Saccharomyces cerevisiae S288C: one gene and its partners. The gene in region 1 interacts genetically with each later gene. Each region holds a gene or a part of one and is shown in the gene's direction. Other genes may lie near its edges.

Region 1 (3,047 bases):
ATCTGTTCTAAAAGTATCAATATTAGTGTACCATTTTTTCTTCCTTTTTTAAATAATTTCCACGTTTCTTTCTATTGTTCCTGATCTTTCGAATTTAGTTGTATTTCACTTCACCTACTGTAATAACTTTTTTTTTTTAGAGCACAATAAAATTTCACATATTTTCCAAAAGCAAGGGCGGTAAATCAGAAAAGATTAAGCTTTAATGAAAATCTCATAGAGACCAGATGAAGAATATTGGTGGCAGCATAAGCGCTAATACTGAATAGATATACGCATTTTTTTTCAAAATATCTGTTAGTACATTTATACAAATATATTCGTTTATACCTCTTCTTTAAACAGGCGCATGTGTAAATAAATATGAGACTGATTCTCCATTATGCAATCTTCTGATAGCTTCTGCAATCGTAGGGCTGATATCCACCTGATCGACAATGTCCAAATCCAAATCAACAGGTACCGTGTTGGTGCAAACAATTCTTGATAACCTACTATTTATTAACTTCTCCCTAGCTGAGCCAGAAAATATACCATGTGTGACAATAGCGATAACCTCCTTAGCACCGTGATCCATTAATGTGTCACAGGCTTTCACCAGCGTACCACACGTGTCAGCCATATCGTCAATCAACAAGCATGACTTACCAGCAACATCACCGACAAGCAGCATTCGCGAAACTTCATTAGCTTTTTGCCTCTCCTTATGAATCAAGGCAAAATTCATATCCAGCTTGTCCGCTAAAGAAGCCACCCTTTTCGCACCACCAGCATCAGGCGATACCAGTATCGCATTATTGAAATCTGTTTTGGTCCTTATGTAATTCAACACACTTGGTTCACCGTATAAATTATCAACCGGGATATGAAAAAACCCTTGAATTTGTGAAGCATGGAGATCCATAGTAATAACATGATCACAACCCGCAGTTTCCAAAAGATTGGCAATCAGCTTCGCAGTGATGGGCGCCCGCGATTTATCCTTCTTATCTTGTCTAGCATAAGGGAAATTTGGTATTACTGCCGTAATTCTTCTGACTGATGCCGTCTTACAAGCGTGAATTAAGATAAGTAATTCCATTAAGAAATCGTTGATTTCATGTTCCCCGTAACCAGTTTGGATGATATATACGTCTTCATCACGAATGCTTTCCCCTATTGTAACAGACGTCTCTTTATTTGAATACTGATATACCCCCACTTTAGATAACGGTACACCAAGCCTTTGGGAAATAAGCTCAGCAAGCCCAGGATGTGAGTTACCAGCTAACAACTTAATACTGTTTGTAGACATATTCAACGAAACTTACGACAAGATAGTCTTTGGATGATGAGGAATATCCTCTTCTTAGCAATCCCTCGATGCCTCCTCATATCATCTATTGTTCAAAATTTTTTCATTGTTGAAAAATAGTCACGTGCTTAACCATTTTGCTGCGCGATTTGGTAGGAGGATAAATACACGGGCATACCGTATCTGTTCAATAGCAACAATGTCGGAGAGAGCTAAACTAGCCAACTCGCCATCCTATTCCACTGGTCGCTTGAGTCGATATCCTTCCACAGCAATATTGCACTTTACAATTAGGATAGCCTCCCCAATAAAATAAGGAAATTTTGGTTATTTGTGTTCAGAAAAAGCCGAAATCGATTGCAGAGAACAGAAAGGAACTTTCCGATTATCACACTTTAGGAGCCGTGATAAAGAAGACTACCATCGCATATCGCAGAAAAGACTTTAAATATTAACTAAAACCGCATTCGCAAATTGCAAACAAAGTACGTACAATAGTAATGGCTACAAAGCAGGCTCACAAGAGATTGACGAAAGAGTACAAGTTGATGGTGGAAAACCCTCCACCATATATTCTTGCTCGCCCCAACGAAGATAATATTTTAGAGTGGCACTATATTATCACAGGACCTGCGGATACTCCTTACAAGGGCGGTCAATATCACGGTACTTTAACTTTCCCGTCTGATTATCCATACAAACCACCGGCTATCAGAATGATAACACCGAATGGACGTTTCAAGCCCAACACACGATTATGCCTTTCTATGAGTGATTACCACCCTGATACTTGGAATCCTGGCTGGTCTGTCTCAACCATTTTGAACGGGTTACTAAGTTTCATGACCAGTGATGAAGCCACGACAGGATCAATTACAACATCAGACCATCAGAAGAAGACATTAGCAAGAAATTCCATAAGTTATAACACTTTTCAAAATGTTAGATTCAAATTGATTTTTCCGGAAGTTGTACAGGAAAATGTAGAGACATTAGAAAAGAGAAAATTGGATGAGGGGGATGCGGCAAATACAGGTGATGAAACAGAAGACCCTTTTACAAAGGCTGCGAAGGAAAAAGTCATCTCGTTGGAGGAAATTCTAGACCCTGAAGACAGAATACGCGCTGAACAAGCGTTGAGACAATCAGAAAATAATTCCAAGAAAGATGGCAAAGAACCTAATGATAGTTCTTCAATGGTTTATATTGGTATCGCTATTTTTTTGTTTTTGGTTGGCCTTTTTATGAAATGAAGCCATTAAATGAACTAAACTTTAGATAAATTTTGACAACACAGAATAGAAATCAATAGTATTATATAGACAAAACGGATCTTTTTATTATGAACATTGTGAATTATTAATTATATTTTTGAGTATGTATTGACCAAGAAACCTCAATAAAAATGAGGTGAAACCTAGGGAGACAGAAACTCCCATTTCAAAAACCTTCAACTTTCATTATAAGCTTACCTTGAGCACGTTGTGTAGCCATATAGGAAAATGCTTCCTTGAAATTTTTCCAGGAATAAACCTTATCAACAACGCAATCTACGACTCCCTCATTTAGCAGCTTGCCGCATTCATGTATCCAATCATTCTTCTTGGGGATAATCTTGATATTGGGGTCAAAGTAAAAATGAGAATAATCGTATGACCATAACATTGATCCAAACATTTTTCTTGCATTGGCGCTAGGGTTATCCCAAGAATCAAAGACGTCTTTCTTATAATTTCCAACATAATCACCAACT
Region 2 (3,400 bases), on another chromosome or scaffold:
TCTTCTAATTTCATGGATTTAAGCACAATTGCAAGCGGTGATAACGATGGGAAAGAATGCGATACGGCGGAGGAGAGTGAAGACGAAAACGAAGATACAGAAGACGAGCACGAAATTGAAGATATCCCGACCACGTCTGCTTTTGGCTTAAATTCTTCCGCTGAATACCTTGCATTCAGATTACGAGAATTTAATAAATTATGACCATGATAAATTCACCACATGTATCTATATATGTTCATGCATATACCATATATATTTTGTTATTCATACGATAGACCTCAATCGTTTTGTTGCCTTTCAAAACGCACAATTGTAAACCTAGCTTACTATTTATCTATCGCGGTCCAGAATGGCTTTCCTTTTTAAATTCATCCCAGAAGCCACGTCGGAGTAAAGTATTCGGCCTTGATGACTATTTCGAATCGAAATGAAAGAATAAAAGGAACTAGGAGGTTGTTCCAACAATTTTCCATGCCGTAATTTCATCGGTTATTAGGTTACCAGCATTTATCTCAGTTTATTTGAGTCAAGGTAATTTATTTTCATTCATTACTGTATGGAGTAAAAATGAATTCCATTTATGTATTCGCACGAAGAGAAATTTATCATCCGTCAGAGACACCAAATTACGGCCGAATTTAGATTTGTTTGCACGTAAATATGAGCCAATGAAAGCGTTATTATTCAATGTTTCCAAATTGTTTTCCACCGTTTTATTTTTCCCCAAGAATTCGCTTTTATGAATGTTTTTAATATATGCAATCATTTTATCAAATCCACCGATGATAAAGTTCCAGTGTTCACTCAACATTTTCATAGAATCGTCATGGCTTCTGGAATCGACTGTTAAAATAAAACAATATCTTCTTTCATTGCCTCTAGCATTTTCATCATACAGTTTAAAGCCTATAACTAAGTTCAATCCTCTAAGATCATCAAAAAATATAAAAGGCATATTATCATAAATCATTGTTTCTTCAGAAAAGGCTCTTTTAATAATAGAATTTAGCAATTGGTATCTTATAGAAGAATATTGGGTAGTTATAAACGGAACATCTTCGATGAAGCACCGCATCGATCTAGTTGACTCTTCAGGAAACTGTAAAAGACATGATTCGCAATATGATTCAGTTGGATAATCAGGCACTAGTAATTCTTCACCTAGCGTTCCCTTTTCTGCGGATTGTGTAACTGATATGATCCTTGGGCCATGCTTGTCGCAGAAATGAGCCAATGAAATCACTGTCGAGGACATTCTATGCATCTATTTCATCAACCATTTAAACGCTAACTTATTTTATGGAGGTGCTAGTTAGTTGGACTTTATTGCTTCATTTATCGTTTGATGGTCATCGAATAGAAGATTCCTAAGCCCTTTTCTTTTTACTCAAGATTTTCTTTTTCAAGCGTGTTTTTTCTGGCAAGTACGAAAACGGCATCTTCGAACTTGGCGAATGAACAATCGGTTTGGTTCAACATTTCCAAGAACAACTACAACATACTATCAGTGTTACTTTCAAAAGTCTTTTAATACATTTGAAATGATATTCAGTGGAAGTGGAATGAAATAGGCCACAGTGAATAGGCCACGATACACACAGCATGTGTCATGCTCAATACCTTGCACCTGAATCTATATAATCTTGTAGTTCACCATTATATACATAACTCAGAAGAAGAAAACAATACGCATATTGGATAGTGCTCCATCGCTTTTAACAACTGATAATTTCAGTCATCTGGCTCAGGGTCTTGTCGATTTTTTTTATTTAGAAACTATCCGAATAAAAAAACCGCAGGAATACAAAGCGATGGGAATTGCTATTTCACTGAACATGTATGTATACCGTATACCGCATAAAATAACTATAAACCTACACCATTAAACGATGTGTGCAAAGAAGCTCAAATACGCTGCTGGCGATGACTTTGTACGCTATGCTACACCTAAAGAGGCCATGGAGGAAACTAGACGTGAATTCGAGAAAGAGAAACAACGACAGCAACAAATAAAGGTTACTCAAGCACAAACTCCCAACACTAGAGTCCACTCAGCTCCAATTCCCTTACAAACTCAATATAACAAAAACAGAGCAGAAAACGGTCACCACTCCTATGGTTCTCCCCAAAGTTATTCTCCAAGACATACGAAAACACCTGTGGATCCTAGATATAATGTTATCGCACAGAAACCAGCAGGCAGGCCTATACCTCCAGCGCCAACCCATTATAACAACTTGAACACTTCCGCTCAACGGATAGCTTCCTCTCCTCCTCCCCTAATTCACAATCAAGCAGTGCCTGCACAACTCTTGAAGAAAGTTGCACCTGCTTCGTTCGATAGCAGAGAAGATGTACGAGACATGCAAGTGGCCACACAGCTATTTCATAACCATGATGTAAAGGGCAAAAACCGACTGACAGCTGAGGAACTACAGAACTTACTACAAAACGACGACAACTCCCATTTTTGTATATCATCAGTAGATGCGCTGATAAATTTATTTGGTGCTTCCAGGTTTGGCACTGTCAACCAGGCAGAATTCATCGCCCTATACAAAAGAGTGAAAAGTTGGAGAAAAGTTTATGTGGACAATGATATCAACGGATCGCTCACCATTTCTGTAAGCGAATTTCATAACTCACTTCAAGAACTAGGATATCTAATACCTTTTGAAGTTAGCGAGAAAACATTTGACCAATATGCTGAGTTTATAAACAGAAATGGAACAGGAAAAGAACTAAAGTTTGATAAATTCGTTGAGGCGTTAGTTTGGCTAATGAGATTAACAAAATTATTCAGGAAATTCGATACTAATCAAGAAGGCATTGCAACCATACAGTACAAAGATTTTATCGATGCTACATTATATTTAGGTCGTTTCCTACCTCATTGATGAAAACCATTCGTTCTTTCTGGTCGTAATACAAATAGAAGAGGTAAACCAATCAATGGCCCGTTAGTTTGCCATTTGCTGCATCCTTCCCATGCAAAGTGTCTTCGTATTTAGTGATGTTTTGTTAGCGACACAAAAGAGACCTCGATGACAGACATTTTTTTTTCTTTACTTAATGTATTATAAGTGTGTCTGACCTCGACTATCATTATAATATTAATTTGAAGTTCTATTTTACATTTATATGAGTTATTCCATTACATAATAAGGATATCAAGAGCAGATTAGTGTCTTTTAGATTATACATCTTTTTCCCCCCTTTTTTGTTGTTGGTAGTGGAAAGAAAAGGATCAATTAACAGAAATAAATAAATAAATAATAAAAACCTAAAATTCCTTTTGCGTCATTGAATTTTTATTATGAAGTCAAAAGGGAGTCGGTTGTCAACAGACTGTCCTGTCGAATTTCCCAAGATAGTCTCTGGATTCGCTGAGGAAGTG
Region 3 (2,943 bases), on another chromosome or scaffold:
CAGATAATTCTCTATTACATCAAATTCGTGGGATAAGTTTTTTAATCTTACAGCTACTAAATTGGTAACTGTTTTTCTTATCATCTCATTCTTCTTAGTTTTGAATAATTTTTCTGAAATATAACCTTGTCCTTCTTGTCTATTATTATTGATAAATTGTAAAAAGGTCATCTTTAAGTTGACGAATCAACGTGATAATTGTGTAACCGTTATCTTCGCTGTCGTTTTTGCTACAGATATGATTTTCATTTTCCATTGAAGTCTATTGTGCCACTTAATCAAAATGCGTTCGATGATAAATTTACTAAGTTCTTTAATAACTTGGAAAACTAATACACTAAAACACATGCACGCCACGGAGTATGGACATTATAAACGTGTGAACATTTCAAACTCACAACTTGCATGACATTACTCTCTCTTTTGCATCCTTTATTCCTCGACATACCCCATTTCTCACTAATTTGGTATTAGTAATTATGCAGAAAGGTTCGAAGCTGTCAATTCTTTTTAGACATGTTTCTTGAAAGTCTTTACAAAAATTTATCAATTGGAGGCATCTCAAGCTCTCCATTTATAAATGGAAGAAAATGAGCCTCTTCCCTTCAATTTTGCTTAATCAATAACTTCATGTATTCTTCCAATATAAGAGAAGATGAGTAGAAGGAGAAAATAATCACAATTATTCTGTAACTATCATATAATTTTGTTTACATATAATTAAGATACGAATGTGTTCGTTGAATAGGTATGTGGAGTCAGGGTATATCAGTTAGAAGAATGAGAATATTTCTTCTTACCGATATCTAAGGGTATATATCTATATTTTATCATATGTTGAATCTGCCTTCTCATAGTTAAAAAAAACAATAATATGAAATACATCAATAAGATGGGCCAAAATACTGGAATATCGAAGATTGAAAATAGCGACAACAAGAGGGAAATGACAGTGGCTCTAATGCTGTTATACCAGAATTTGAACTCTGGTAATCTTCTGATGAATGGACGGAATTCTTCTGATTTTTCTCCAGCTTCCAATTCGTTGTTTTCTTCATCTTGCTGTAAGGACATATCGAATTTTGGGGTCAAAAAGGCTAAAAATTGATTCAATAAAAATAGACCTAGACCATAACAAATCACATACCAGCCTTCGGCCATTGTAATACGAACCATAAACAAACATAACAAACCACCCAATACAGCCCACCTCTCCTTAGCGTGAGGAGTGACTTTATCCAAATAGTGTTGATATAATAATTTCATTGTATTCATCTTAGTGATTAAGGGGTTACTTGAACCACCGTTCATTGTATCAGAGCTATCGTAATCCATCTTGCTTCCTTTTTTTGATACTCTATGCCTTTCGTGTAACACTTAGTCCCAAATCGAAATCGCCTTTCTTGTATCGTTATTTTTCTTATGTATAATTCGTGTTCTACTGCAGAGGCGTGTTTTGACAAGTTTTTTTTTCCTCTGCGAACGAAAAACCCACAATTTTTAACCTCATTGAGGTAAGGTTTTCCAGAGGAGAGGTTGAGGAGCCCTGCGAAGCAATTATATTGAATCATTCACATGCTTGTTATTGTTCTGCAGGGCTTGGCAGGTTTTTTATCAGTATGCATAATTGAAGGAGAAAGTATACATGAAAGGTTTGACTAACTAAGGGAGAAAACTTCCATTTCTTACATAGATCATCGCCATTCTATGTCAAAAGCGCTATAATAAACTTCATCGATCTATTTACGGGCTTTCATATGATTTATTTCTGCTAGATTTTGTTGGTAATGGTCTGTACTTGTATTGCGCGTTGCATTATTGTTATTCATCTCTGGTGAGGGAACAACTGTCTCAAAGATTCCCACTTTTTTATCCGTTGAATGATGCCCGTAGTATACCTATATCCAGTTTCCTCATTCTAAAAGATTTTTGCGTTTCCTGTTGCTGCATGATGGTTTTAAGGCAGTTATACTATTATAGGTCAACTAAACATATTTATCAGGGCATTTCCATTACTTCCATAATAATTATAAGTGTGTTCCTTGTATTAGGCATATTTACATATGGCTGTTCCATCTCTAATTTACCGTTGAAAAATTCAGGTAAATTTGGCGTTTTCTATTTGGAACACATAAATTATTTGTGGGTAATGGCAAATCTGCTTAAATGTTTCAAGTATGTGCCTCAAATGAGTATAAACTGGATGGGATGCTCAACAGTAGGTTTATCATCAAAGTTTGCATTGATATCATTTTTGGCTGAATCTATCGATTTATTAGGTAGACTGGTAATACCGACCAATGCATTGTTTTACGAGATACCATTTAATTCAACGCCCTTTTGGGTAAAATTGATACAATTTGTCACCTTATTGGTCATACTTTGTCAAGTTCAGTATGTTTACGTAGGACGGAAACCACGGTTGCCAAAAGGAAAACTATAACAAGGTCAGCTCATTCTCTACCTTAATGGCTTTGCGATGTTTGCAAATTTAAGGAGTTTTAGATAATGCATTTATTATTACTATTTTTTCTTTTATTTTTCCATATTTACAGGCGACATACTATGATAGAATAGAATCTAAAGTTTTTTACCCAAAATGGAGGTAGCTATCTTTACACCAGTGCCAACATGTCTTTCTGGGTCTGATTGAAAGTCTTCTAGAGTTACAGGTTTTGTATATTGTAATAAATTATCTAACTCTGCTTTCATTTTTTTTCTTAGCTCTTCATCTCTTGTAATAATGAGAGCATTCGATTCCAAATCTAATGAATACGCCCTTCTCGTATAGTTTGAAGATCCTATAACCGTGATAAAGGGTTTCCAATTGTTAGCATCATTTTTATCACGAGCGGAAAGCCAAATACCTTTTGCGTGATATGACCAACCATTCGGCTTATTTACTACGCCTCTTTGCCATTCTCTTAATGTAATAGCATGATC
Region 4 (3,122 bases), on another chromosome or scaffold:
TAGGCACCAGTTGTATTTTTTAACAGCACTGCTGACCGCGTCCACACTTTGGATTCTGGATTTCACCACGTCAAAGGGAGTGTTAAGCATGGTCCCGACCGTACCACCGATCGCACCTGCAATAAGGTCATTTCTGGTCTTTTGTCCCTTTGTCTTTGCTACGGGCATGGAATTTCTCACTTGGTAGATAACACCGAAGTAGCCACCATTCCAAAGAGCGTTTCTCCACATGGTAGATTCGATACCCTTGTATAGCCCCATAATACCTTCGTTTTTGATTGTTTTTTTCAAACAGTCCATTGGTCCAAGATAGCTGGACTTGACGTCTTGCATCCTGATTTTGATCAATTCAAATGGAACAATAACTGCAGCTTCTGTCATACCAGCAGATGCACCAGCCGCAATGGAGATCTTCTGCGTAGTTTCATTCGTGTTGAATAGGTTTTTGAAGATTTTTTGATATTGATCGTTACATGCAAATTTGGTGGCTCTCTTTGGTGCTTCCATCAACATTGGTGAACTAATACCTCTGTAAAGTCTGCTAAACCCTTCCTTCTTTACAATTTTTTTCAAACAATCGATGACACCATTATATCTCTCTACTTGCTTTCCTACTGCAGCGGCAGTAGGCGTCGTCACCTCCAGTTGAAATCTTGTCTTAACAACATCAAGCGGATACATAACAGTTAACTCAGAAATACCGGCGACGGCACCTGATATGAACTGATATATAAAAGGCAATGGCTTTGCGTTTGAGTCTGATGACATATTACTTTGATGCTACCTCGAATTACTTGACTATATAGAATCTAACCCAGTAAAAAAGTGCAGAAGAGCTTCAGACTGAAAAAACGAAGAGAACGTTTTATAACAGAATTACTTGCAAATGCATGTCGAGTCGAAAGTGATCGCGACTGCACTGAGTCATCAACAACAAGATCTTTCGAGATAGACAGGCAAAAAAAGCTCACCACGAAAAAACTGAAAAAAAAAAAGTTCCAGAGGAATTTGCCTGGCATAGAATAATAGCATTCGTAGTACCACTATTTCATGTTAGAAATGCACAAGCAATTGAATGTCAACGACAGAAGAGGACTAAGTAGTATGCAGAAGAACTAGAACTCCTATCTGAGAAGAACTAATTGGTCAACCATGTCTCATTGTCCTTACATTTGATAAATGCCGATCTTCTAAAACAGTAAACACACGTTAGCATCGCCTTGTGTTAACGAAGTAAAAAGGCTTGCTAAACCGAAAGTACACAATATGCTTGTCTTGAGAAAGTTGGAAGAAAATTATAGGCCCTTAAATATACTCAAAATGCAGAAAGTGTCATCTTCTTACATGGCATTTTTTGGCCGTATGACAAGGCGCATTTCAACCTCCGATGGAGGAAGTAAACTGAGTATCGAACTCAAGGGTAAAACAAAGCTTACCAGTAACTTGCTGCATATTAGAACTATTCAATAACGTACACTGAGGGTAGTAACAAAGCGTTTTGCACTTTTCTGATCGTGGTACACATATATAAGCGTTTGTATGAAGCTACTAACCTTCCCAGGTCAAGGGACCTCCATCTCCATTTCGATATTAAAAGCGATAATAAGAAACAAATCAAGAGAATTCCAAACAATACTGAGTCAGAACGGCAAGGAATCAAATGATCTATTGCAGTACATCTTCCAGAACCCTTCCAGCCCCGGAAGCATTGCAGTCTGCTCCAACCTTTTCTATCAATTGTACCAGATACTCTCGAATCCTTCTGATCCTCAAGATCAAGCACCAAAAAATATGACTAAGATCGATTCCCCCGACAAGAAAGACAATGAACAATGTTACCTTTTGGGTCACTCGCTAGGCGAGTTAACATGTCTGAGTGTTAATTCACTGTTTTCGTTAAAGGATCTTTTTGATATTGCTAATTTTAGAAATAAGTTAATGGTAACATCTACTGAAAAGTACTTAGTAGCCCACAATATCAACAGATCCAACAAATTTGAAATGTGGGCACTCTCTTCTCCGAGGGCCACAGATTTACCGCAAGAAGTGCAAAAACTACTAAATTCCCCTAATTTATTATCATCTTCACAAAATACCATTTCTGTAGCAAATGCAAATTCAGTAAAGCAATGTGTAGTCACCGGTCTGGTTGATGATTTAGAGTCCTTAAGAACAGAATTGAACTTAAGGTTCCCGCGTTTAAGAATTACAGAATTAACTAACCCATACAACATCCCCTTCCATAATAGCACTGTGTTGAGGCCCGTTCAGGAACCACTCTATGACTACATTTGGGATATATTAAAGAAAAACGGAACTCACACGTTGATGGAGTTGAACCATCCAATAATAGCTAACTTAGATGGTAATATATCTTACTATATTCATCATGCCCTAGATAGATTCGTTAAGTGTTCAAGCAGGACTGTGCAATTCACCATGTGTTATGATACCATAAACTCTGGAACCCCAGTGGAAATTGATAAGAGTATTTGCTTTGGCCCGGGCAATGTGATTTATAACCTTATTCGGAGAAATTGTCCCCAAGTGGACACTATAGAATACACCTCTTTAGCAACTATAGACGCTTATCACAAGGCGGCAGAGGAGAACAAAGATTGAGAAAGAGATCAAAACTGCGAACTCTCTCCACTCCCAGTCTGTGCTTCTACGCATTCATTGAAAATGGAAAGAGGACGAAAGTGTGCAAAAAATTAGCCAACTTCCCTTTATATAAATATCGTATACACATACATACATTCCTTCTATACTAATCGCTCTTGGATACACTAAAACAAATCCCTAATGCAAACATACATGTTATTATGCCATACAAAGTAAACACGCAAGTATATAAACGTATAAATGGATATATAGATATCTCTACGCATATTCTTTACATTATCATAGCATGAACCTTTTTCCCTTTTTCTGCTTTGTCTAATTTATAGTATTAGTTATGCTCTAGTGCTCTAATGGAAAAACTCGTTAACCGTTATGCTTGGACTTTTTGGAGGATTTGAGGCAGTAGCGTTTACATCATTTTCGGTACACGATGCAGCATTACTTCTAGTAGAAGTATCAATGGTCAATCCTAGTGGCTTAGAGGCGAAAAGGCATTT

Evidence for each region.
Region 2: mutations in UBC6 (region 1) and PEF1 together harm fitness more than expected from each alone (negative genetic interaction), as found in Saccharomyces cerevisiae (2 studies listed by BioGRID).
Region 3: mutations in UBC6 (region 1) and YCL002C together harm fitness more than expected from each alone (negative genetic interaction), as found in Saccharomyces cerevisiae (2 studies listed by BioGRID).
Region 4: mutations in UBC6 (region 1) and MCT1 together harm fitness more than expected from each alone (negative genetic interaction), as found in Saccharomyces cerevisiae (2 studies listed by BioGRID).

What each region holds. Positions count from the first base shown.
Region 1 is NC_001137.3:357,768-360,814, forward strand, and holds UBC6 (E2 ubiquitin-conjugating protein UBC6), read left to right. Parts: upstream 1-1,794; coding exon 1,795-2,547; downstream 2,548-3,047. Other genes in the region: ribose phosphate diphosphokinase subunit PRS2, read right to left, coding at 338-1,294; AST2 (Ast2p), read right to left, coding at 2,735-3,047. UniProt on the Saccharomyces cerevisiae protein: Catalyzes the covalent attachment of ubiquitin to other proteins. Functions in degradation of misfolded or regulated proteins localized in the endoplasmic reticulum (ER) lumen or membrane via the ubiquitin-proteasome system.
Region 2 is NC_001139.9:604,244-607,643, forward strand, and holds PEF1 (Pef1p), read left to right. Parts: upstream 1-1,892; coding exon 1,893-2,900; downstream 2,901-3,400. Other genes in the region: RSC subunit protein RSC1, read left to right, coding at 1-204; LST7 (Lst7p), read right to left, coding at 530-1,258; septin SPR3, read left to right, coding at 3,320-3,400. UniProt on the Saccharomyces cerevisiae protein: Calcium-binding protein that is required for polar bud growth and cell wall abscission. Can also bind zinc ions.
Region 3 is NC_001135.5:110,308-113,250, reverse strand, and holds YCL002C (uncharacterized protein), read left to right. Parts: upstream 1-1,575; coding exon 1,576-1,617; intron 1,618-1,693; coding exon 1,694-2,443; downstream 2,444-2,943. Other genes in the region: YCL001W-A (uncharacterized protein), read right to left, coding at 1-171; RER1 (protein retrieval receptor), read right to left, coding at 769-1,335; PGS1 (CDP-diacylglycerol--glycerol-3-phosphate 3-phosphatidyltransferase), read right to left, coding at 2,581-2,943.
Region 4 is NC_001147.6:755,976-759,097, reverse strand, and holds MCT1 ([acyl-carrier-protein] S-malonyltransferase), read left to right. Parts: upstream 1-1,539; coding exon 1,540-2,622; downstream 2,623-3,122. Other genes in the region: ODC2 (mitochondrial 2-oxodicarboxylate carrier), read right to left, coding at 1-768; RCN2 (Rcn2p), read right to left, coding at 2,973-3,122. UniProt on the Saccharomyces cerevisiae protein: Involved in biosynthesis of fatty acids in mitochondria.